Arabidopsis thaliana: one gene and its partner. The protein of the gene in region 2 interacts with the protein of the main gene of each other region in a pairwise test. Each region holds a gene or a part of one and is shown on either strand. Other genes may lie near its edges. The genes, in order: NAC3 and Prx37.

Region 1 (12,402 bases), on a different chromosome or scaffold from region 2:
ATGATCAGGTTGAGCTCTTCTGCACAACCATCTTGCAGAATATATCTTCTTTGAAATATGAAAAGTAAGTTGTTATTGATATCTTGTAACATACGGTAGCATAAGGAAACCAAAACGGTTCGTAAACCCTAATTTCCGCATGTTTCTCTCGCCAGCAATGTTGATCTGTTACCGGAAGAAACTAAAAAAGCAATGGCCGGAATTATATTTGCTGCATCAAGAATTGGCGAGCTTGAGGATCTTCAACACATAAGGAGCTTCTTCGTTCAAAGATTTGGGCTTAAGTTTGATAAAGAGTGTGTAGATTTGCGCCAAGGAAACGTCGTGGGTTTTGAGATAGTCAAGATTCTAAACACGAATATGCGGGGAGATGAAATTACACATATTGTAAGGGAACTTTCTCATAAGTACAAAACCAACATCACTACTTCTACGGATTCAATAAGTGAAGATTTGGCTTCAAGTGACGATCTCGGCATTGCCGATTCTGATGCGATGAAGGTTGAGAAAATGAAAAGGGCTCTTCGGAGAAAGAAAGTTATGAAGGAGAATTCTAAGTTTTTGCATCCAAATCTTAGAGAGTCTCAGGGAAGAGATCGATCATTCAGAAGATAAGAGTTTGATTGGGATTGTTATTTGGTTAAAAATTAAAATCTTATTACTGTAAAAGAAGGAAGAAAAAAAACGCAGCATATACAATTTTTGTTATATTTTCATAGTATACAGTATTTGATTATTTTCTAATTTTAATGTCAATAAATATCATTATTTTATTTATGCCTTCCTAGAATACTTCTCTCTTGATGCAAATTTTATAACAATGATGCCAAAACATCACATAACATTATAATGCTTTCAGTTTTGTAAATATGATTTTTGAAAATTTATGTTCATTAATGATATGTAACTTCTCACAATAAAAGTCTAATATCCTAATTTAGTTTTTTTTTTTTTAATGAATCATGATCTATAGTATTAAATATAAACATAAAAATATTTAGTTCAATATAAGTGAAAGATATCAAAGGAATATTTTGTAACAGAATTTATCTTTTTGGGTTTGTATTCTTACCCGTAGATTATTTCAATTTTTTATATAAAAAAAAAAAAAAATATGGGTGAAAAATTGATTCAAGAAACAGTTACCAAAGAATTTCATATTTTCACACCAGATTTGAGACTTATTTATCAGCGAATATAAATTGTTTCGTCGTGCTAAAAGTAAAATTATCTAATGTGAAAATGGTACATGTGAAACACCGTCGTGTGTAAAACAATTCGATGCTTGGAAATGGTACTCTCGCTAAATTTAGTGGGTCTCCAAAATTCCATGCGACGACTTAGTTATTTACATAACACTATGAATGGGCTATGCAGTATTTGTTGAGATTGAGATATAATCGTTTTTGCTCTCATTTCATCACATACTCAACTGAATTAGTTCATATGATACTACATCTAGAAGATTATTGGGTAGTTTTCGGTTCAGAATTGCATGAATTCAAGAGATTTAGGACTCCGTATCTGGTACAAGCTTAAATGAACCTATTTCAAACAATAAAAATTAGTGGGCCTGAAACTTTGTTGGGCTTAAAAAATCCTACATACTTTATCGGCTGTAGAAATATATCGATACCTAAACACTAAACAGACCAATATCAATAACAGACCTACTAAACGACTTTGTTCATGTTTAGCGTTTATAAAAAAAGTTAAAAATGTTGGCAACAACATCATCCGATCCATATACTCTTATCAGGAACGGAAAACAAAAAGGTCAATAACAAATAAAAAAATATAATTGGCCATAAGTAGTGAATAGTGATTAAATATGATTTATCCTACAATTATTCGTTAATAACTAACTAAAAATATATTTTCTTATACCAAAGAAAACTATACAAACTACTTAAATCAAACTTGTAAGATAAGATATAGTTGGATGAAGTGGGGGTTTGATCTACGATGGTCATCTTCATTGTTTGATTCCCCCTTTTTCGTTTCTATTCTATTTTAAGAATATGAAAAGACGTATAATATGCACAAGTTGGAGAGAATATTTATCAGCTTTTCAGAGTTTAGTATACTATATATGATCTTATCGAAATTTATACCTTTTCTATATATATATATATATATTAAATCGAAACTTTCTTTGTTATCAGTAGCTTAATGTTTAGAAATATTCTTATTATAGTGTTTGATTAAATATGTTTCTAGAATCGAAAAAAATAAAAAGAAATCATTATATTAAATTACGATAAAAAAAGAAAAATTAATTTAATAAAAAAGGGAAACATTATTTCATTTAACTAGCTAGTATTTTAACAAACAACTAAATAGTTGTAATTTATTGTCATAATATATATATTCTGAATAAGAAAAATCCACATATGTAGCAAATGTATTATACATGTGTATGACAAAAGTTTTACAAAATGGTTGAACTTAAAAAAAAAATATGTCTTAAACATACGTAAGACTACACGTAATATCAAAATTAACATGCTTAGACATAGTAATTATAAAGCTTTATGTAAAGCAAGACTGATTCTATTAATTAATTGATGGATCAACACTTTTAGCAATTGGGGATATTGTACTATTTACTGGATTATGCTTGTGGAGGGAGCTCATGGTGCTCCAGATTATCAAATTTTATATATGGTAGAAAAATAATTATACCATTACAATGTAAAGCATTCGAGTTCGAATTTCATTGGCGCACTTTGATTTTATATAGGAAGATTGAGGTTAAGTTGTAATAAGTGTGATATTCATATTATTATTGGAAGTTTATTGGTTTAGCCATATGGTTTATTCAGCAAACCATTAACTAAACTCACATGTCAAAAGTTGAAACTTATACCACCTTGATATCCACGTCATCAATTCTTAATACACTTTTGTATTTTGACCCAAATTTACGGGGTTACACGTTATGTAATTATGATATATGCATGACATACACGTTATGATATATGCATGACATCGCTAAAATAGCATAATGTTAATTAGTTATCTAAAACTAAAGACCTGTGTGTGGATATTATCTTCCAACATTAACAAAAAAATCCCGAAAAGGAGAAGAACAAAAGCTTTTAAAAAAACTTTGATCACCCCGTTCTATACCAATTGATGTATCTTTAATGGAAGAGAACCATTATAAATAGAAACGAATTAACACCAAATGCACCGTGACACGAAAGATATTGAGTGTAAGAAACCCCAAATTCCTTGTTATATTCGCTTAGAATTATTTTTACAGCACCATGTACATGTGATCACAAGATATCAATTAAAGTTAGCTAATTAACTTTATTTTTCATTTTTTGGGCTACTAGTTTGCTAATTAACTTTTTACCGAGAAAAAACTATCAGTAGAAAGCCAAAAAATTCAATGAATAAGAAAAAAAAAAAAAAAGCCTAAACTTACATACATATATGATATATCTACGATAAATTTGCTGATAAACGATCTGACTTCTAACTAAGATTCCTGTTTTACCTATTTTAAAAAAAAATCGAGAACCATGAATCAAAGCTCAACTATGTTAATCATGATTGAAATCACGTACGTTCTCGAATGCTTAAATAAATATGTTAATCAATAAACCGCCATAAATTGGTTAAATATAAATCTACTTGCAAGAAAATTGTAATTGAACTTTATTTTCAATTGGTAAAATGTTCCTTTTTCACGTACACAAAAAAGTGTTTGAAGAGAAGCGTGTTTGTGTTATACGGACTTACGAAAATCTTGTGTTCCCATTTCTCAACCACAAAAGCCTAATTTCTTGGTACCTCTGATTGTATACTATCGTTTCACAATTACAGTTTCATCTGATTTCAATCAAAAATTACAGTCTCATATGGATCAAATAGAAAAATAACGAGAGTCTGCATCATCAACTCGTGTTTGTTGTTTGTCCCTCTCTCTGATCTTTAACGGCTTTTGACGAAAGAAAAATATCCCGCCTAACTCAACCAATAGACACAAGACATGTGTCGGCTTGTGGTAGTTCTATCCGTATGAAAAACGCTTTCCATGTTACCATCCAGTGAACTCATCCCATCATTCACTTACACGTGTTTTTTCTTCTTGACGACCAAAAAAAAACAATTTGGCACATACCCATTAAAAAAAAAATACTTCTTATTTTTCATAATACTTTTCGTAGATTGTCACTGTTATGTAACTCATTCATAGAAATTTACCGCGTAAATTGCATGAAAAATCACTAGTCTTAAGAATCACCTAATTTGTTTTTCTGAACTTACAAATATTCGCAAATTACTTTCAGTTAACTCCCTAATACTTGGGAAGACCATTGACAATACAAAAAAAAAATCATAAGAGGAGGTACAGTCACACACACAATATTACAACATTACTAATATAAATAATCAACTTTATGGTATAGGTTCAAAGAACCAAAGGGATCGCATAAATCACGACGCTCTAATTGATCCACGTGTCATGATAAACATAAAGTGGGACCCGTATTGAGGCTGCACGTTAACGAAGATTGGGCGGCGGTGTAATATTATATTATATATATACATACACGAGTAGCAGAGCTTCGAAATCTTTAATCTCAGAATACAAAAAAGAAAATCAAAGAAGATAGTTTTGTGATTGTTTTCTATAAAAAGTGCAGATATTTTCTTTGTCCTAGAGAAAGAGGTGATAGGAAAAATGGGTCTCCAAGAGCTTGACCCGTTAGCCCAATTGAGCTTACCGCCGGGTTTTCGGTTTTATCCGACTGACGAAGAGCTGATGGTTGAATATCTCTGTAGAAAAGCCGCCGGTCACGACTTCTCTCTCCAGCTCATAGCTGAAATCGATCTCTACAAGTTTGATCCATGGGTTTTACCAAGTACGTATAACCTAATAACCTTAACCGTGTTTGGTTTCTTTGTAGCTAGTTATGTTTTTTTCTCTTCTAACTTGTCTTTTTGGTTCTTTGTAGGTAAGGCGTTATTCGGTGAAAAAGAATGGTATTTTTTCAGCCCGAGGGATAGGAAGTATCCAAACGGGTCAAGACCTAATCGGGTTGCCGGGTCGGGTTATTGGAAAGCCACCGGTACGGATAAAGTTATCTCGACGGAGGGAAGAAGAGTTGGTATCAAGAAAGCTTTGGTGTTTTACATTGGAAAAGCTCCAAAAGGAACCAAAACCAATTGGATTATGCATGAGTACCGTCTCATCGAACCCTCTCGTCGAAATGGAAGCACCAAGGTATAAATTTAGTTAAATACATGATGTATCCAAAAAGATAAGTATATAGTAATTGTAATTATACTGTTCAACGAATAACATATTTTAAACTGTTTTTATGTTCAGCTTGATGATTGGGTTTTATGTCGAATATACAAAAAGCAAACAAGCGCACAAAAACAAGCTTACAATAATCTAATGACGAGTGGTCGTGAATACAGCAACAATGGTTCGTCGACATCTTCTTCGTCTCATCAATACGACGACGTTCTCGAGTCGTTGCATGAGATTGACAACAGAAGTTTGGGGTTTGCCGCCGGTTCATCAAACGCGCTGCCTCATAGTCATAGACCGGTTTTAACCAATCATAAAACCGGGTTTCAGGGTTTAGCCAGGGAGCCAAGTTTTGATTGGGCGAATTTGATTGGACAGAACTCGGTCCCGGAACTCGGACTGAGTCATAACGTTCCGAGTATTCGTTACGGTGACGGTGGAACGCAGCAACAAACTGAGGGGATTCCTCGGTTTAATAATAACTCGGACGTCTCGGCTAATCAGGGTTTTAGTGTTGACCCGGTTAACGGATTTGGGTACTCGGGTCAACAATCTAGTGGGTTCGGGTTTATTTGATTGTGTAATGGTAACGTAATAAGAAAAACATATTTTTATTTTTTGTCCGTGTCAGATTAGTTAATTAATATAGCGTAGAATTCGAACTCTAGGGTTAGATTTAGGTTCTACGACTTGTATTGTATATTCGTCGTCATTTGTCCTGACATTTACATTTTTGTAAACTTTTATAGCTGGAACTTTTGTATTGATCAATTATTTATTAGAAAAACAGATATTGCATTGGATCTATAAGTTTTGTACTTGCTATTGCTAACGATAAACGATAGAAATGTGAAAGTTTCCTTATCATTCATGACACATTTTTGTGTCAACATCATGTAGTATTATCATTAACAACGAATCAGCGATTCATAATTTATTATATTAATCGCCATAATATATCGATAATCTAGGAACCATAAAGCGAATATGACTTTGCTCGCTATCGCTCATCGTTTAATATTAGTACCAGCTAAAACGAACAATAGATTTGTCATCATCTTTCGCTGATGACGGTAACCATATCATAGCGAACATGACCAAAAATGTATGTTTATCTGAGATGATTTCTAGCCTATAGCACTAGTATACTTTTGTAAAATATAAAAATACTATTTATATAAACACATGTGGCATAAAGAAATTTCGCACGCGATAGTTGTGTATATATTCATTTATGTGCAATGGCATTTGCAAGCCGTAAGGTTTGAAATAGTAATATTGTACAGCTGTTTAAAGAACGTTCAAAATTTGTTAGAGAAATTGATATATATATATTTAAAAGGATATGGATAAAGATGTTATATTGTTTAATGGGAAAAGGATAGTGATGGTATTAGATGGCCAAATCTTAAAGACCAATTGGGGTTTGAAGATAAGAACAGAGAACGGACCGTTTGGGGTTTCCTGAAATTGCACGTGTGAGTCAGCATGGGCTGCTTGTTTGACTAGTTTAGAATCATTTCTTTCCTAAAATAGTAACAATTCACACCGTACAAGTTTTAAACACATCTACGCTTTTTGTTCGTATAAGTAGATTTTCATAATCAAAATTTAAATAGATTTTATCTGATTAACTAATTAGATAAATGTTGTGAAAAATAATTTTTACACCGAAATTAGCTAGGGAGTTTTTCTTTCTAGTCTACATGAATATCCATTACATTGAAATTTAAAGAGTTTATGGAATTTAAAGAATTGGCTATAACTTACGTCTTATTATATTTATTTTCTAAATCACTTAAAACCCTAATAATCGAATTAAGAGAAATCATTGGGCGATTGTTAGTTACTTTTGTCAAACCAATTCTTTGTTCTCTTTGTTTACATTGAAATCTTTTGTCTTCTTAAATAATCCAAAAATAAAATAAATAAAAACACTGTCTTCTTCTTACAAAAACTTTTGGCTACTCAAACAACTTGCGAAACTATAATTTTCTTTCTGTATCTTAAAATCGCAGAAAAACGAGAGATGGAAATGAGTTTGTTAAATATATATTTTCGTTTAAAGTTTGATAATTAAGGTGGCTGGATGTGAAAATATTTCAATTTAAAAAGAAGAAAATATTAATGTTCTACATGTAAATTTTGTTGGACGAAGCTCTACGCAACCCCTTAGAATAGCATATTCTATCGTAAATACATGAAAACGAAGGTTTTGAGTTTAATACTTTGTAACCATTTTGCATAGAAATACTTGTGGTCCATATTCATCAAGATGTTATTGTACGCTAAAGTCTAAACAAATAACCATTCATTCGTCCATATGTGATTAATCAGTAAACGAATACAGGCGCGTACGCAATTACGCATGGCATGGGGTTTAGTGATGTATATTAGTACTTTATTTTTTGCCATGCATCTATTGTAAAAAGTCAAAACATGAAATTAATATAAATCATTTGTTTATATTTTGTTCTTACGCGTAATAACAAATGATTTATACAATAATTTATGATTTTTGGTAGTTTATAACTGGAAGATTCCAAACCAAAATCTAAATTAACGTGTTATTCAAAGAAATGAAAATTTGTCCATATGGTAATTAATGTTTTATATAGGACTTGAGTATGTGTTGGGCCATACGCAAAAAGTGGATTCAGTTAGGCCTATGTATTTCTTTAACAATGGGCCTGAGTATTGGAAACGCAAATTATATATGTATCCAATTATATTTTTGTTAAAGAACGCAAATTATCTTGATCGTGATTATTTTCGTACTGACCGAGACTTGAGAAATCAGACTATTTTCTTTGACAACTTATATTTTAAACAAAAATAAACGTACATAGATACAAAAAAATCCTTGAGTATAACCTTTTTTTTTTCCTTGACTACAACTTTAATGAAAAATAAATCTAAAAACTCAAAAGGCTGAACAAAATGAGATGATGATTATCAGGTACTGTGTATATAAGTGCATAATATTTTGTTATAAAAATTTCGACTCCAAATATATTTTCGAAATAAAATTCAAAAGTGCTTTATAAAAGAACAAAGTTTTTCATTTTTCGCGACCTCAATTGTTCTATGGAGAAAGTTTTTTTTATTGGAGAAAATTTAAAGCTTCATCCATTATTAGTAAACTGGTTATAATTGATGTCAAACGAGTGCAACCGTAAATATAATATCTACGAGTGATTTCAGACTAAGCAATCAGTCTTTAAATATCTCACACATGCAAGTAATGCAATATCTTATAGTATCTAACAATGACATCTGCGATATAAAATACATTTAACCTAGACAAACTTTTTGTTGCTGGGTGATTCTACCGTTGCTTGTGTGACCTTCCGGGGCGTTGAGAAGGTAACAAAGTATATTTAACGAAGCAGACAATTGAGGAGGTCCTTAATCACTTTCCATTTTAAGCTTAAAGACAAAGATTAGAAAGAAAAAATAAAGCAAAGTCTCAGCAGAATCATGTCTTAATCTACTTGATTGATTCTTTCATCAGGCATAATTAATCATGGCCATTAATATCTCTAGATCATATCTCTAAGGAATACTTACGTATAACTTACGTTAAGTTGTACGTATTAGACATGACTAGTTTTCAGAAGATATCAGTAAAAAACATGTGATTTGAAAACTGATTTATATCATTTTGATTACAGATTAAAACTATGATTCCAACTAAGAAAAAGCATAAATTTCGAAAATTGTTTGAAAAATAGTTAACAACAACTTCATAAATAAATTATAAGCATATATATACATAACAACTTAACAAGATGTATATGGTTATAGGGAAAATATAGCTATGTATTTATACATCTTTTTTACATGTCAAAAATATATGGACCGAGTTGGAATTTTTTGGTGAAAAGGGATGGCCAAATAATTATCTAATCAAACATTGGGGCACACAAGATTTTTTAGTTAATTTCATTTTTTCATTTCATTCTTTGTATGCAATTAAAACGAACACATGTGACATGTGAATATGTGATATACCAATTACTTAATATTTCGGCTTTAAAAAGAAAAAAAAAAACGAACAAATCGGACACTGATTTGTTTGAACGGTGCGTACGTGGTGGGATGATGAAGAATTTGATCTTCCATATCGCAAGCTCATAAGATTCTCGCAGTAGTGTTTTTATTACGTGTTCTTTATTTTTTTGTTTAGAACTTGATTACTTAAATCAATCTCCAAGTTTCTTAATTATGTTAATTCTTCGTTTTTTGGATTCTTGCTATAACTTATCTACGTCAAAATTTTGTCCAATTTTACAGAAAAATCACAAAATTAGCATTTTAACACACACACACATACATATATTTAATTGGAAAAAATAGAACTAACAGCATTTTCTTCGTGAAACAAATACAGGAGCACGCATTCAAAAAATTAAAAGGGTCATGCAAAAAGAGCTTTTCTCAAATCCGTTTTGTATATAAGAAATAAGAAAAGAAAATTGTAGCTTTGTTTGATGTCATAAGATTCATGTGTTCTCTTTAATATTATTCTCAACTCTTGGAAATTTGACTAATTAATATGTAAGTTGCACAAAATAATGTAATTATAAGATCAATTCAGAGTTCAGACCAAATGTTTTGTAAGATGTCTCGAAATCTTATACTATATATCCACCATTTTTTATATATATCTTCCCCAAAGGAGTATATTATGTTCACAGCCGATGAATTCGTTATATCCGGGAAAGACCCAAATCAGTTCGAAAGCATATTCTTTTGAAAAAAAGGTTCAAATTAAACACGTTGAAAAATAGAACAGTTTAATTATCCGAGTTAGTTTCTAAAAGGCATGTGTCTTAAAACTTAAATTGAGTGATCACTAACTAACAACCTAATTTGTAACTAAATTTACATTTATTTCATTTAAATAAATTTATCGATGGAATCATAAACGTCTACACATCATATTGGCTTCTGTTTCAGATATCATATAAATCAATAAATCTGAATCTAATGGATGCTTGAAATGAAATAGCACTTTTTTTTTTTGAGCTAAAGAATTTTTTTTGTCAAAATGTTTGACAATCGTCCGATGTTTGGCATGTCACGTTACATAAGACCGTGTAATATGATGTTTAACTTGGCTTAGATATTTTTCTAAATAGAATAAAAGTGTGGTATCACATGATGAAAACTATGGTTACAAATGTTCACACACTGGATTATTTGAAAGTAGGTCGTTTTTTCTGCATAAAGATTTTTTATGAGGAAAGTTTTAAATACAATAAAAAGTTTGAAGTTAGGTTTACTATTATTAAACACCTTGTATGTAGTAGAGTGAAATTTACCAACCTGCTAACATATGTAATATACATGATACATGATACATGCCACGCATGTTTTTGTTATACAATATGCATAATAGTCATATATTAAATGTTTGATTCTTCACATTAAAACCAAAAAAAAATATATATTAAATGTTTGAATTGCCCTGGCATCCCACTTGCTTTAGCTTGGGACTTGTTTAGAGAGTTATAATTAAAATCCAGATTATCGAAATTGTCTTCTTATTTCAAATTTAAAACTAGTTGGTAATTAGTTGATTGGCATGCAGATCTTAGTTAGTAGTGTTGGTACTTTTCCATTGCGCCTAGTCCAAAAAAGATTGTTTTTTTTTCCAATACATATTATTACTGATTTCATATTAAATTTGAAAATTAAAACATTGAAAAGTCGAGTTTACGACCAAAACACTTTGAACGACATTTGGATTGAAGCAAATAATGATATTCTAGTGGTCATCATCATATTGGTCCATATCAATGATATTTTTTTGATAGAAACACCTTTTTACTACTGTAAAATGTGTGAATACTCACAACGTACTAAAAATTATAGGTTCGACGATCTAATTCTTCCCCAAAACTTTCATATAGCACTAGAAGTTTGAAAACTCTTGGTTAAAGAAAATAAAATGGTACTTTCAACAGTTACAAGTGTCTGTATATAATATAATATATTCAATTTATACGTAGTCCAGTTGTGATTGCACGATAACACCGTTATATATTTGGTATCTTTATCAATCAAGATTGTTATATGTTGATTTTTCAAACTAAACCATAATAATATTGACATACGGGATAAGCCCACTATTCAGTACCCACGTTATGTTGAAGATAACACTTACAAATAGGGGTCCCTAACAAATAGTTTAGAGTGTATATATTTGGTAAGAAAACTATTTTAATTATAGAACTCTTAAGTTTTGTAATATATCAAAAAATTGTGCGTGTTTGTGTTGTTGTTGAGATTCTGAACGTCTAGCAAAAAAGAAGTGGTGTGCAACCATGTAAAGCACTAGAAATCTTTGTGAATGCAAATAGAAGGATGTCTCTTGATCTGATGGATGTGACTAAAAAATGATGTAATTAAATTGACTAATTAGAGGTAAGCATTTATTTTAGTTGGTACAACGTGTGTAAAATATGGTCCACATTTCTCCTTTTTTTTTTTTTCTTTTTTTCTTTTTACTACTTTTTCTATTTGTTTTTCAAACAAAGTGCTCTAAACTGACAAAACTGGAGAAATAGTAGGCTGTATTTGATTTTGTGAACCAACCAAAAAACCTTTGTATTTGATTTATAATATTGTGTGTTTTAAACATAAAGAAAAAGATATGAGATAAGGAATCTCATGGTCAGAAGTCAAAACTAGAAAGTCATAAAATAAACCACTCCTAAGAATCTGATAAGTAAACAAACTATATATTTGCACACTAAACGTAATTTAGTGGTCGAAAAATATGCATGGGTTATAATCATCTTATGACGTTGGAAAAAAAACAAGAATAAATCATATAATAATGAAAATATAAAAGTAATCGAAACTTAAAAATGACATGAAATTGGTCGATTTGTTTGTTTCCATAATATTTATTATCTAAAATTCAAAAAATATTCTGGTGGTGCGATTATCTCAATAACAAAAGCGTGACATGTGACATCTGAAACGTAAAACTTTTTTTTTTTTCCCACACCCACCCGGCCATCTTTTTCCACGTCATCAATTTGTTACCTTCTCTGGCGATTTCTGTGGGCCCTACTGCCCCGATTGCCACGTATGAATATATCGTCCATAGGTAT
Region 2 (13,303 bases):
CTATATAGAGTTGTAATAATAAAATAGTCATCTCAATTTCCGTAAGAAGTGGTTTGGTTGGTCCATAGAAAATAATAGCCACTCCAAATTGAACCAAAAAATAGTCAAAACAAACAAAATCAAACTTCCAAAAAGATAATTTATCCAAAAACGCATAAATTTTCAGATGTAGAAATAACTTTTTTTGTTACTTTGAATTTTTATTTAACTTCTGTTTTTTTTTTCCTATTGTTTTAATCAACCAAAAGAAAGCCAAAATTTCAAAACCAAACAATCAAAAGAAATCTATAGTTTTAAGTATCTTATTAAGACAAAAAGAAATCAAATATTTTTACGAAAAAATTGTGACAAAAATTATGACAGTATCGTGCGTCACGAACTGTGTCTGTTTATTCGACTATATTAACGTCGTCACAATCAATGACGAATTGTTACTGTTGTTAATCGTCTTGTGATCTTTTTAAGACCTTTATGGATTTGTGACGATTTTATTGTGACATTCTAAAATACGTTTCACTTTCGTCATAAAAAAATTATTGTGACTGAATATTGTTTTATTGTGACGATAATAACTGTATCAATATTCAGTTTTTTTATTATATAATTAATCTATCTTTATTTCAAGTTAATTAATTAATTAGACATTAAATGAACTAACCGAAATGTCTATCCTTATTTCAAGTTAACTAGATGAGTACCCGCAATACGTGCGGGCTTTCACTTTATATTTCGTAATTTAAAAGTATTTAAATGTAAGATTTTAGGTTAGTTTTTTAATAGGCAAGAAGACAAAAATCCTATTTGATACTAAGCTCCATAAATCAACATTTGTTTTTGCATTTTGCATTTAGATTCCTTACAAAATCTTTTCTCAGTAAACATTATTTTCAGAATTTTTTTTCATCTGTGTTAACCTTAAACCAAAACAATAAGACAAAATGGTAGAGGATTTGAGTCCAAGAATTTGATGATAGAATTCTCAAGTACTTCTCACCATTTTTCATATATTATATAGAAAAAGAACAAACTACAAAAACTATGAGCTAATCCACTATACAATTATTTAATCATATTTTGACTTAAAATTATAAAAATTAGGGAAAAATATCCAAGAGTATGAGAAAATCAATTAAATAATTTAATTTAAGAAAAAGATATACAAAATAAAAGAAAATTATTCTTGATACAATTAATTATGTAAAATTTTATAATATATACAATTAAATAATAAATCACCATAAACCATTAACTTACATTAATTATTAAGTGGACATTAGGCAAAAACTAAGTGATGATGTGTCATTCATATGAAGAGAGTTGACCAACTTTTATACATATGATTACACCACATATAGATAATATATAAACTTATGATCTTTATATATACAATGTTTATAATATTACCTGCGTATTTGTTATTATTAGTTAATTCGTTATTCTAAATGAACACTCATGCTACGCATGGGTTTTTGTTTTTAAAATTGTCGGAATATATGATTATAGTCTTTTGTTGATTTTGATGTTCATTTGTGTGTGTATGTTAATGTGTAATTAATAAATTCATATATATTTTATATAGTTATAATTTTCTATGATTAAATTTATCTATAATTCGAAATATCAATTTTATTATAATATAAATATTTATATACCTATTATTCAAATATTTCACTATCATGAACACACACAACAACATTATATGATATATTAATATGTAGTTATATTACTTATGTATTTTGAAACTTGCCTAACTTAATTGTAACAAACAATTTTTTATTCCATATATTCTTTTGTCATCTACTACACCAACCACATCATGATATGCTAGTAAATTAAGTCAACACTTTAATTCTCTTCCCTTTCATATAGCCATATAGAGTCTCGTGTTTTTGTGTGGGTATGTCTAATGTCTCAGATGACCACTACGTGAAAAAATTGTATATCAATGTTACGAAGTTATTAGAACGCACAAAAATAAACAGAAAGAAGGTCATATGATAAATCATAATCACATAACGTAATAATAAGAAAATATCCAACTAAAATTACTAAATTAATATGAGGTTAGGTAGCAAACATCTAAACTACAACATAAGTAAATTTTAGCCATTATGGATTAATAACTATTGATAAAAAAAATTAAAAAAATAATTAGAATAGAATGAAAGTAGTACTTTATACATTGTTATGATTTTTTATTTATTGAGTGTTTTTAGAAAATTCATTTAAGAGTGAGATTAATAGAGAATTTACACAACAAAAGACTTTTGATTTTTCCTCAATTAGTTGTACTAATTTTTTTTTTATAATTAATGTAAAATGACACATGTCATTTTCTTGTGTGATGATGTGTCACCCAAATGGAGAGAGTTGGCCAACTTTCATATATATGATTATATCCGTAAAGCATTCTCACTTTTTAGGATAAAACCATCAAAGAACCAAAAGAGTACTTAATATATACATGAATATATCGAATCTGGTGGTATCTTACATTAACAAAGCAGTCGTGGAAATGAAGACGAAGGATGCTTGCAGCGATGCGAGGGTCTGATCTCAGCGCATTGACAATGGTATTGGTTACAATATCAAAGACTTGCGGACATGTTTTATCGTAAAAGGAAGGGCTTAGTTGAGCATGAGACAATGAGACCTGAAGAAGGAGAAGAAGAAATCCCAATTTTATCAAAGAGGAATGCATTTTCTTTGCTCTCTAAGAGAATGTTTTTGGTTATGGTTAGATATGAGTGAATTTAGGTTTCTTCGTAACGATTCCTTATATAGGCAGAATAATCTAGCTTGGCGGCTTTTACTTTTGTGGATTATGAGATATTTTTATTCAAGTAGTGTATACGTTAATAGTCTATTACATATGGAATTGTACAAAGTGGTTTAAAGCATCTGTTTTTTTTCTTTCGGCTACTAGGTTTTAAAGTCTACAACACTTTAATTGTCAATGCTCAATTTGATTCCTATGCTATACAAGTGATAATTAAATTTTTCTTGGAATGTCTAATAAGAAGCATAGTAGTAACAATGTTCAAGAGTGTTTGACTTGAGAAGAAAAACATAGAGTTGTGGATGTTTTTTTTTAGTGTTAACAGGTTACTAGACCTCTTTTGTAAAACTAGGTGTTTAGAGTAAGAAATTGAGCAAAACAACATTAGTAGAAGAGAAGAATGAAGAATTGAACCGACCGTTTTTATGCAACATAGTAACAACAATGCTCTAGCTAGACGCATCATATATATGTGACTCAGGAGATGACTTGGCATTGTTTATGGTTTGATAATGATTTGACGATCGATCAATGTAGATTTTCGACATTATCTACAATTTTGGGTATGAACATGAAAAAACTTGAGTTCGGGTATGTATAGTAACGTAACGAAAGCTTATAGTTTTGGTATAATTATACCGTGATGACGAACTTGATGTTTGAAAGTGACAAACACACATAAAAAGCGGTGACTATATTCTAGCTACTCGATTTGGAATCAACGGTGTCAAGAGAGAATAGGAGATGTTTAGAGAAGGAATGAGGAGCGAAAGAGTGTGAGGAGACGACATTCCTTTGTTTTTGGCGTTATTACTATTCGAGGTAATGCTTTAATTAATGGTATATGTGGGTAAATTTAATTTTAGTATAATTTTTTGTTTTTGTTTTTTTTTCTTTGTTTTTATTTTTTGTTTTTTTTTTATCGACAATTTTATTAGTTACCATTTTCACTAGATCTGAGTAATTTGTATAGAACGTCATTTTTCGTTTGTTTTGGCCAATCATACATCTTATTACCTAGACAAATGCTTCCACTTTTGTGTGTAGACATGTGAAACTTCTACGTAGGTTGGCAACACCCATGGTTGGATGTCCGTATTTGATAATGTATAAAACCATCCCATGCGCAAAAACTTATCAGTTTCTTTACAGGAGTAATCAATGAAACAATGATATCCTGAAGGATTTATATTAACCGATTTAACTGCCATTGGCTCCAATTGAGCTAACGTCTAAACATTGGCTTCGTTTTCCGTTAATGGGAGAATGTTCCTTGGATCTCGATTAATATTCTCGTGAAGTTTTTCATTCCGTGATTTCTAAATATACCGTACGATCCAAGAAAAATTAGAACTAAAGAACCCAAAAAAAGTGTTCTCCAAAGTCAATAATTTATCTTTACATAGACCCAAGAAAATAGAAAAACTTCCGGAACTATTAGTATTGGTGATAATGCCAAGGTCTGAAATGCTGGTAGACACTCACAATTTTTTGATTAATAGTTAGTATAAATTTTTAAATTGAAAAAATGTATGAGATTTAACGTTTTGTTAATGTCTTTCAACTGTTTGGCGTATTATTCTGAAAGTGCAAGAAAAAAGATTGTGTATTTTAAAGATAATAGTTAGTATAGTTTTCATGGATTTTTCTTTTCGATACAAGGGTATATATATCATGGAATTCCAAATTTATTGTTTATATATACGTTGTAGTTGGATTCTATGTTAAATATTGTTGATAAAAAAAACGGAACAAAAAAATGCACACTGTAATAGGGTAAAAGTTAGATTATTCTAATTAGTTTAATTAGAATTACCAGAAAACACTCTATTAACATAAATCATTTACCAAAACAAAGAAAAAATGTTATTTTTTCTTCTCTTTAGTTTACGAATAATGTTTTTGTAGTGAAAGTTTCTTGTAAGTACTTTCAATTAATTAATATATCTATGATTCAACTACTAAGTACCAAATCTCACATATTACAGCAGCCCCCTTGGTTTGACGAATGATATCACTAGCAGCCTCTTTGGTTTGACTAGCACCCGGCTTGCTTTTGTCAAACCATGAAACTTTCTTTCATTTCATTATTAGTCTCGTGGGTCTCTCAACCACTCCATTGTCCTCTTTTTTTGGTTCGAATCTAGGACTTTTTGTGTCATACGACGAAGGACTTGCCACTAGGTCATCAACTTCAGTCGTCTTTTAATAATCAATATAGATGAGTTTATGTGGAAAATGCAAAAAGTTCTTAGAAAATGGGGAATTAAAAAAAACTTAGTGCTAGCACATGTTTTGTTTTTGTATTGATATGTGCTAGCACTAAGTTTTTTTTAATTCCCCATTTTCTAAGAACTTTTTGCATTTTCATCTTTACAATTTCAATTCATATTTATATTCTTGCCTAACAAAACCAATATAAGTAAAGACATGCACTTTGCTTCTTTCTATGTGTTTTCTTCACTTTTAGACACATGATTCAATTTTTTTAATAGTTAGGATGCTCAGAAACCGTTACTCGTATATCTCTCCAAGACTAAATAAAATTAACGTTCTTTTGGAGAGCAGATCCTTTCTAACGCAGATCAGTATCCTCTAAAATCTCTATATTTTCAGTAACCAAATGGTTTAACTACTAAATATCAAATATTCGTCGTGTGTTACATGACTAATTTTTAATATACCATACATAATTTTACAAGTTTATCCACTCTTTTCCTTATTTTCTACAATTCTTTTCCTTATTTTTTTGGACAAAAGACAATTATTTTCCTTCTTTTTTCCCAACAATTACTGTTAAAACAAATCACAAAAGACAAGTATACAGTAAAACCTCCATATATTAATACTCTATAAATTAATATATTTTTCCGATTCCAAATTGGGACCAATGTAAAAAGAGATACAATCGATAAATTTAATGATAATATTTTTTTTGAAAAATGCTATGTATACATATAGTACCATAATATTATAAAATAATATAAAAAAATCAAATGAAATATAATTTTTAGTAATGTTTCTTTTGCTTAAATTCATATTAGCTTTTGTTTAAATTTAATTCTAATATGTTTACTGTATCAAGTATTTTGGTGTTGTTTACTAGACATGAAAATTATTTTGTACATGTAAATGGTTCTAGAAAGATATTTTATTTAGTAAAAAAATCTTATATTTTCATTGAAAATTAAAAAAGTTATGAAATTAAGAAACTCTCTCTATAAATTAATAAATTATAACATTATTAATTTATCGATAAATTAATAGCTTTTTAAATTAATAGAATTTTGCAGTCCTAATACTATTAATTTATAGAAGTTTTACTGTATATGCACAAAAAATAATAAACATACAGTATTGGTATAGCCAAAAAAAAAAATGGATACATAATCTTACGTGAATGGCTAGATAAAAACGTCTAATTTCAATAGAAAACACTGATAAATAACCCTATTTACAGAAGAGAAAGTTTAAATGTATTTAAAGTGTGAAATAAAGAGATTCTGAATAAGAATACGCTATAATTAAAGTATTTTTAGACTTTAAAACCTAGTAGCCGAAAGAAAACAGATGCTTTTAAACCACTTTGTACAGAGTCATTCAACAAATAACAATGTCTTATTCAAAGTATAACATTCCATATGTAATATACTATTCACGGATACACAACTTGAATAAAAGTATGTCAAATAATCCACAAAAGTAAAAGCCGCCAAGCTAGAACCTTGGCCTATAAAAAGAATCGTTAAGACAAACCTACATTCACTCAAATTAAACCATAACCAAATAATTCTCTTAAAAGAGCTAAGAAAATGCATTCCTCTTTGATAAAATTGGGATTTCTTCTTCTTCTTATTCAGGTATCATTGTCTCATGCTCAACTAAGCCCTTCCTTTTACGATAAAACATGTCCGCAAGTCTTTGACATTGCAACCACTACCATTGTCAATGCTCTAAGATCGGACCCTCGCATCGCTGCAAGCATCCTTCGTCTTCATTTCCACGACTGCTTTGTTAATGTAAGATACCATTAGAATCAATATATTCATGTATATTTTAACTCTTTTGGTTCCCTATAGTGTAGCCCTAATAAAGAGCGCGAGGGAATGCTTTATGGATATTATAAACTTGAAATTAGGATATAAAAATGTGATAGACTTTTTGTTTTGTTGTTCGACTCAAATAGTTTGTTTCATGGTTTATTCATTTCAAACTGTGAAATTATTTTGGTAGTTTTGTTATTGAAATTTTGGCTTTCTTTTAGTTAGTTAAAAAATTGAAAAAAACAGGAATGAAAGAAATTTACAAAAACAATAGAAATTTACTTTTACATACAAAATTTATGTCTTTTTAGTTAAATTATTTTTTTGGAAGTTTGATTATACTTATTTTGACTAGTTTTGGTTGAATTATGGAGACTGGAGAGGCTATATATAAAATGGACCAACAACTTCTCAAAGACATTAATTTGATATTATTAGTACAAGTCTACATAGATTGTAGTGCTTTCTTATCTCGAGTTTCAGATTCTGTGTCAAAGTATGCTCGAAGATGTTTATAGTGAACTCATATTTTTTGGATTTCAAATATTCTGTCTTCGGATTCACGTGAAAAGATTATGCTATCGATAGTGTGATACATGTAGTAGTATAACTTGTTTATATTTAAATTCAAAGAATCTAAGATCAACTGTTTACGGATGTTAAGATTTTCTTTATGTAAACAATGTTGTTAGTTACTAAATGTGAAGAAAAATATTTTGTTTTGAAAAAGGGATGTGATGCATCGATATTGTTAGACAACACCACATCGTTTAGGACGGAGAAAGATGCGTTTGGGAACGCTAATTCCGCTCGAGGTTTCGATGTGATCGACAAAATGAAGGCTGCCGTGGAGAAAGCATGTCCTAAAACTGTTTCATGTGCTGATTTGCTCGCCATCGCGGCTCAAGAATCTGTCGTTTTGGTATGCATCTTTTACTATGCTATCCAAATGGTTTCTAGACCATTTTGTTTAATTTATAAGGAAGATGAGAGATAATTAGACCAAATATAATTGTTACTTTAGGCGGGAGGTCCTTCATGGAGGGTTCCAAATGGAAGAAGAGACAGCTTAAGAGGGTTCATGGATCTTGCTAATGATAACCTTCCAGCTCCATTCTTTACCCTTAACCAACTTAAGGATAGATTCAAAAACGTCGGACTCGACCGTGCTTCTGATCTCGTTGCTCTTTCTGGTACGTTATTTCGTTGGCAACATTTTCATCTATAGTTGTAGTCACTAATAACTCAATATGATTATTGGTCAAGTTTATTTATTCGTTCTATATTTTCATTTGGTTAGGTGGTCACACCTTTGGCAAAAACCAATGTCAATTCATAATGGATCGGCTTTATAACTTCAGTAACACTGGTTTACCCGACCCAACCCTTGATAAATCTTACCTCTCCACACTCAGAAAACAATGTCCACGTAATGGAAACCAGAGTGTATTGGTAGATTTTGATTTACGTACGCCAACACTCTTTGACAACAAGTATTATGTGAACCTCAAGGAGAACAAAGGACTTATCCAGAGCGACCAAGAGTTATTCTCTAGCCCTGATGCTTCAGACACTCTTCCTTTAGTCCGAGAATACGCTGATGGTCAAGGGAAATTTTTCGATGCGTTCGCGAAGGCAATGATAAGGATGAGTAGTCTTTCACCTTTAACAGGGAAACAAGGAGAAATAAGATTGAACTGTAGAGTGGTGAATTCGAAATCTAAAATCATGGATGTGGTAGAAGATGCTCTTGAATTTGCAAGCTCAATGTGAGGAAATGTTTTTCTTTAACAATAAATAAATTATCAATGTTGTCAAGATGTTATCTTTTTTTCTTACTTCCTTGTTTGTTTTGTGTTACTTATTTAAATTCTATATAACTATTAAACCTTGAATCCATAAATTATTTTTACCTATAATGAAAGAAACATTAAATTATCAATACTAAGTAATGGTCGTACGTCGATATTGTTGAACGTGGCGGATAAGTAAAACGGGTTTTACTTCTTCTTAATCTTACTTTCTCTATTGTAATATGGTTATATACCTAAATTAGTGTTTTCTCTTGAAGTTAGACATAGCTAGTGATAGCTATTCACGTAAGTTTCTATATATGTTTATGTATTCACATGAAGTTTATAAACTTATTGTACACGTTGATAAATTTCAACAATTATTGTAGAAAAAGGAAAAGAGTAATTAAGCAAATAATTAAAATCATATATATATATATATATATATATATATATATATATTATGTAGTACAAAGTAATCATGTGCATAAAAGCGAGAAAAAAAAAACACAGAGAATAAAGCGTAGGTCTTTAATCAAGTTGGATTATCCAAATCGTAAAACTATATTGGTTTTGTTAGTCAAGAATATAAAAATGAATGTGTCGAACACATACCGCTACAAAGAAAAAACAAACTATGTGCCTAAAAACATTTTGCATTGTTCACATAAACTCATATTTATCAATAAATATAAGACAACTAAAGTTGATGACCTAGTCAGTCTTTCATATGACACCAAAAGTCCCGATTCCAACTCCGATAAGATATAATAAAATGGGTTGAAGAAAGCAAACCGGGTGCAAGTCAAACCAAACATGTTGATTTACTTCGTCAAATTAAAGAGGCTGCTCACTGTGTAATATATGCAATTTCGTAGTAGTTAACAGATCCTTAATATATTAGATAATTAAAAATATAATGATTTATTTACTTCAAACACTTTATGTCGTTAGTTTTGTTATTGTTACTACAATATGTTCTGCAAAAGAAAAAGAAAACAACTCTTCAAATGTTATTTTTTTTTGTAATTGTTTACTCTTAACTAGTTTATAATAAATGCGGGTCAAACCTATGAATTCGAACTTAATTTATAATATAATTATAAATATTTTTAACAGCTTTTTTACATATACATACATTAAAATTTTCTATATTAATCTAAGAGTAATTTTAAATTTATAATCATAAAAATTCGTTTTAATATATTATTTATCAAAATTTTAAAAACTTGAAATGCGTGATAAAGAATTCTATTACGAATAAAATTCGATATTCTTGGATTGATCTACATTTTGCAAATTGAAGGTAAAATTACATAAAATGTAATTCAAAGCGTTTTTCCTTTTTCAAATAATCCTAAAATAATCTTTAAAAAAAAATAAATTTCAATCACAATTCATAACTAACAAACAATGAAAAAATAATTTCAGAAAAAACCCATTTTATAAAAATAACCCATGCACCATAATCGAGAAAGCTTCCTTGCCACAGTTCTCCAAAGCTGATGAAGCTATGGCTCGTCGACATTGGGATTCCCTGCGATACTCTCTTTTCAATTTTGTTTTCGTTTTTTTTCTTTTTATGGTAGGTTTTCCATCACTCTCAACCATCGAATGGAGATCGAGGTGAAGCTCACAGCCTCTAACGGTGGTGTGTGTGGTTGGACTGGAAGGTTTCCACCCTCTGAAAAGACTACTACTAAATCTCGGCTCCACCCGTGGGCAGATCTATTCTCGGGCTCAGCCCAAAGATCCTTGATGTCGTCTCATGTTTCAGCTCCGCTCATCGTTCTCCTACATGGCGTTGCTCCATCTCGCTTAATGTAAAGTCAAAGATTGCTCTGAATATATTCTGTTGTGTTATTCATATTGAAGGTGACGATACAAATATATATGTGTACATGTCGAGTTTAAACCTAATACACAAACTAATAAGGCTTCGTACAAGCCCATTTTCTAATCATCTTTGTTTTCCTCTAAGCCCATCTCTAATACTCCCCCTCAAGATGGACAGTGGAGATCTCGAACACCCATCTTGCCAAGTAGATACTGCAACTGTTTTCGACCAAGGGTTTTGGTAAGAAAATCGACCAATTGCTCTTTCGTACGAACATGTCGAGTAGACACAATGTCATCTTTTATCCCATCGCGAACAAAATGACAATCTCTTTCAATGTGTTTCGTACGCTCATGGAACACCGGATTGGTTGCGATGTGTAGTGCAGCCTTATTGTCACAATGAAGAATTATTGGTTCTGGATGGGGAATCTGAAAGATAAGAAGCAATTCCTTGAGCCATATGAGTTTCTGATAAGTATAAGCCATAGCTCTGTATTCGGCTTCAGCGGAAGAAAGTGACATACGTTCTTGCTTCTTTGTCTTCCAACATATAGGAGATTTTCCAAGTAAAACAACATAACCAGACAGTGAACGACGTGTTTTTGGGCACTTTTGAAAATCCGAATCACAATAGGCATTCAAATGAAGATCATCATCCTTGCTTAGCAATAAGCCTTGACCACAAGTCCCCTTTAGATATCGTACCAGACGAACAGCCGCTTCCCAATGACGTGTACGTGGTTGTCCGAGAAATTGCTTTAGAAGATGAACTACATAGCAATGGTCCGGTCGAGTAATAGCAAGATAAACCAACCGACCAACTAACCTGCGGTATTTAGTTGGGTCAGAATAGAATTCACCATCTTCTTTGGCGAGAGTATGATTCTGTTCAATGGGAGTATCAACAGGTTTAGCTCCTAGCAGCCCGCATTCAAATATAATATCTAAGGTATATTTGCGTTGCGAAATGTATATCCCTTGTTTTCCTCTAGAAACTTTGATCCGAGAAAGAATTTTAAAGGACCTAAATCTTTCATGTGAAAACATTCACTCATATACCTTTTAAACTCCGTAGTTAAGTTGGAATCATTGCCTCCAACGATGAAATAATCCACATATACTAAGATATACAAGCACGAGTTCCCATTGAAGTATGTGAAAAATGAGTAATCCGTGTAGTTCTGCACAAACCCGAATTCTATAAATGCATTTGAGAGCTTTGAAAACCAACATCTTGGAGCTTGTTTGAGCCCATAAAGCGACTTTTTGAGCTTACACACTTGTGAAGGATCCACATTTTCAACACCCGAAGGAAGCTTCATGTATATCTTTTCCTCTAGATCCCCATGTAAAAACGCATTATGAACATCCATTTGAAATAATTCCCAATTTCGAGCAGAAGCAACTTTCAAGAGTGTACGAATTGTCGTCATCTTTACTATGGAGCAAAAGTTTTGTTATAATATGTTCCTTCCTCTTGTCTATTCCCAAGTGCAACAAGACGAGCTTTGAACCTTTCTATGGATCCATCAGAGTTGTACTTAATTCGGAAAACCCACTTGCAACCTATAGCATGTTTGCCTTCCGGTAACGACATTATATCCCACGTTTGGTTCTTTTCAAGAGCCCCAACCTCTCCTTTAACTGTATTAGTCCATCGCGGATCACTCATCACTTATTTAAAGGAAGTTGGTTATGAATTAGCGCTTATTGCAGCTAGGAACATTTGCTGAGGAGGGGAGAACCGATCAATTGATACATAATCAGTGAGAGGATAGAGACACTTACTTGAGGAGATTTGAATGGAGGCAGTTGAAGTGTGAGGGGGTTTATCAAGTTGTGTTCCCGAATATGTGACATATGGCTCTAGAAGTACGAGCCTCATCCTCTTTCTTTTACCAACCCCAAGTTCTTCAAAGTTAGATTCTGCACTTGTTTATGTTTTTTTAGGTATCGAGTCACTCGATTCAGCCTGATCGATTGATCTGGAGTCAGGATCGATAGATCCATCTCTATCTGGAATGTTTGCATCGATTGATCAATCTTCTGGATCGATCGATCGGTTTTTGTCTGAAACTTTTTCTTTTGTTAGATCGATCACGCTAACTTCTGGATCGATCGGTTGATTCTCTTCTGTAACTTGACTTGATCTCGGATCGAGCAGGCTTGCATCTGGATCGATCGAGCTTGTATCTGGGAGTAAAAGAAACTCACCCTGTCGACTAGCGATAGTCGAATTTGGACTGTTATAATCATCTTCTCTTGCTAGAGCACTCTCAGAGTAAGGAAAACATTCCTCCTCGAAAGCAACATCTCGGGAAACAAAAATTCTTTCAGTTTGAAAATCCATCACTAACCATCCTTTCTTTCGAAATTGATATCCAAGAAAAAGACATCGAGCACTGCGATCTTCAAATTTGTCATTCGAACGTCTTACTAGCTTTGCATAGCAAAGGCACCCAAATATCCTTATATCATCATAAGAAGGAGGATTCTGAAATAATACTTCGTATGGTGTTTTCCCTTTAAGTAGGATTGAAGGCGTTCGGTTGATCAAATGAGTAGCAGCTTGATTGCTTTCTCCCCAAAAACGAGTTGGAAGCTTTGCTTGAAACAACAATGCTCGAGCAACATTCAGTATATGTTAATGTTTCCTCTCGACTCTCCCGTTTTGCTGTGGTGTATCAACGCATGAAGTTTGATGTACAATACCGTTTTCTGCGAAATAAGAACTCATACACATGAATTTTGTACCGTTTTCCGTTCTTATTGTTTTGACTTTCTTGTCAAATTGTCGAAAAACCCATGCCACAAAGTTTTTGAGCATTGTGGATACCGATGGTTTTTCA

What was found.
Region 1: the proteins of Prx37 (region 2) and NAC3 interact in a two-hybrid assay, tested with the Arabidopsis thaliana proteins (one large-scale study listed by BioGRID).

Annotation. Positions count from the first base shown.
Region 1 is NC_003074.8:5,230,032-5,242,433, forward strand, and holds NAC3 (NAC domain containing protein 3), read left to right. Parts: upstream 1-4,425; 5' UTR 4,426-4,699; coding exon 4,700-4,880; intron 4,881-4,973; coding exon 4,974-5,242; intron 5,243-5,347; coding exon 5,348-5,851; 3' UTR 5,852-6,165; downstream 6,166-12,402. Other genes in the region: AT3G15490 (Regulator of Vps4 activity in the MVB pathway protein), read left to right, coding at 1-64, 156-615. UniProt on the Arabidopsis thaliana protein: Transcription factors that bind specifically to the 5'-CATGTG-3' motif.
Region 2 is NC_003075.7:5,593,551-5,606,853, reverse strand, and holds Prx37 (Peroxidase superfamily protein), read left to right. Parts: upstream 1-6,455; 5' UTR 6,456-6,591; coding exon 6,592-6,798; intron 6,799-7,552; coding exon 7,553-7,744; intron 7,745-7,846; coding exon 7,847-8,015; intron 8,016-8,122; coding exon 8,123-8,595; 3' UTR 8,596-8,817; downstream 8,818-13,303. Other genes in the region: AT4G08780 (Peroxidase superfamily protein), read right to left, coding at 2,495-2,701.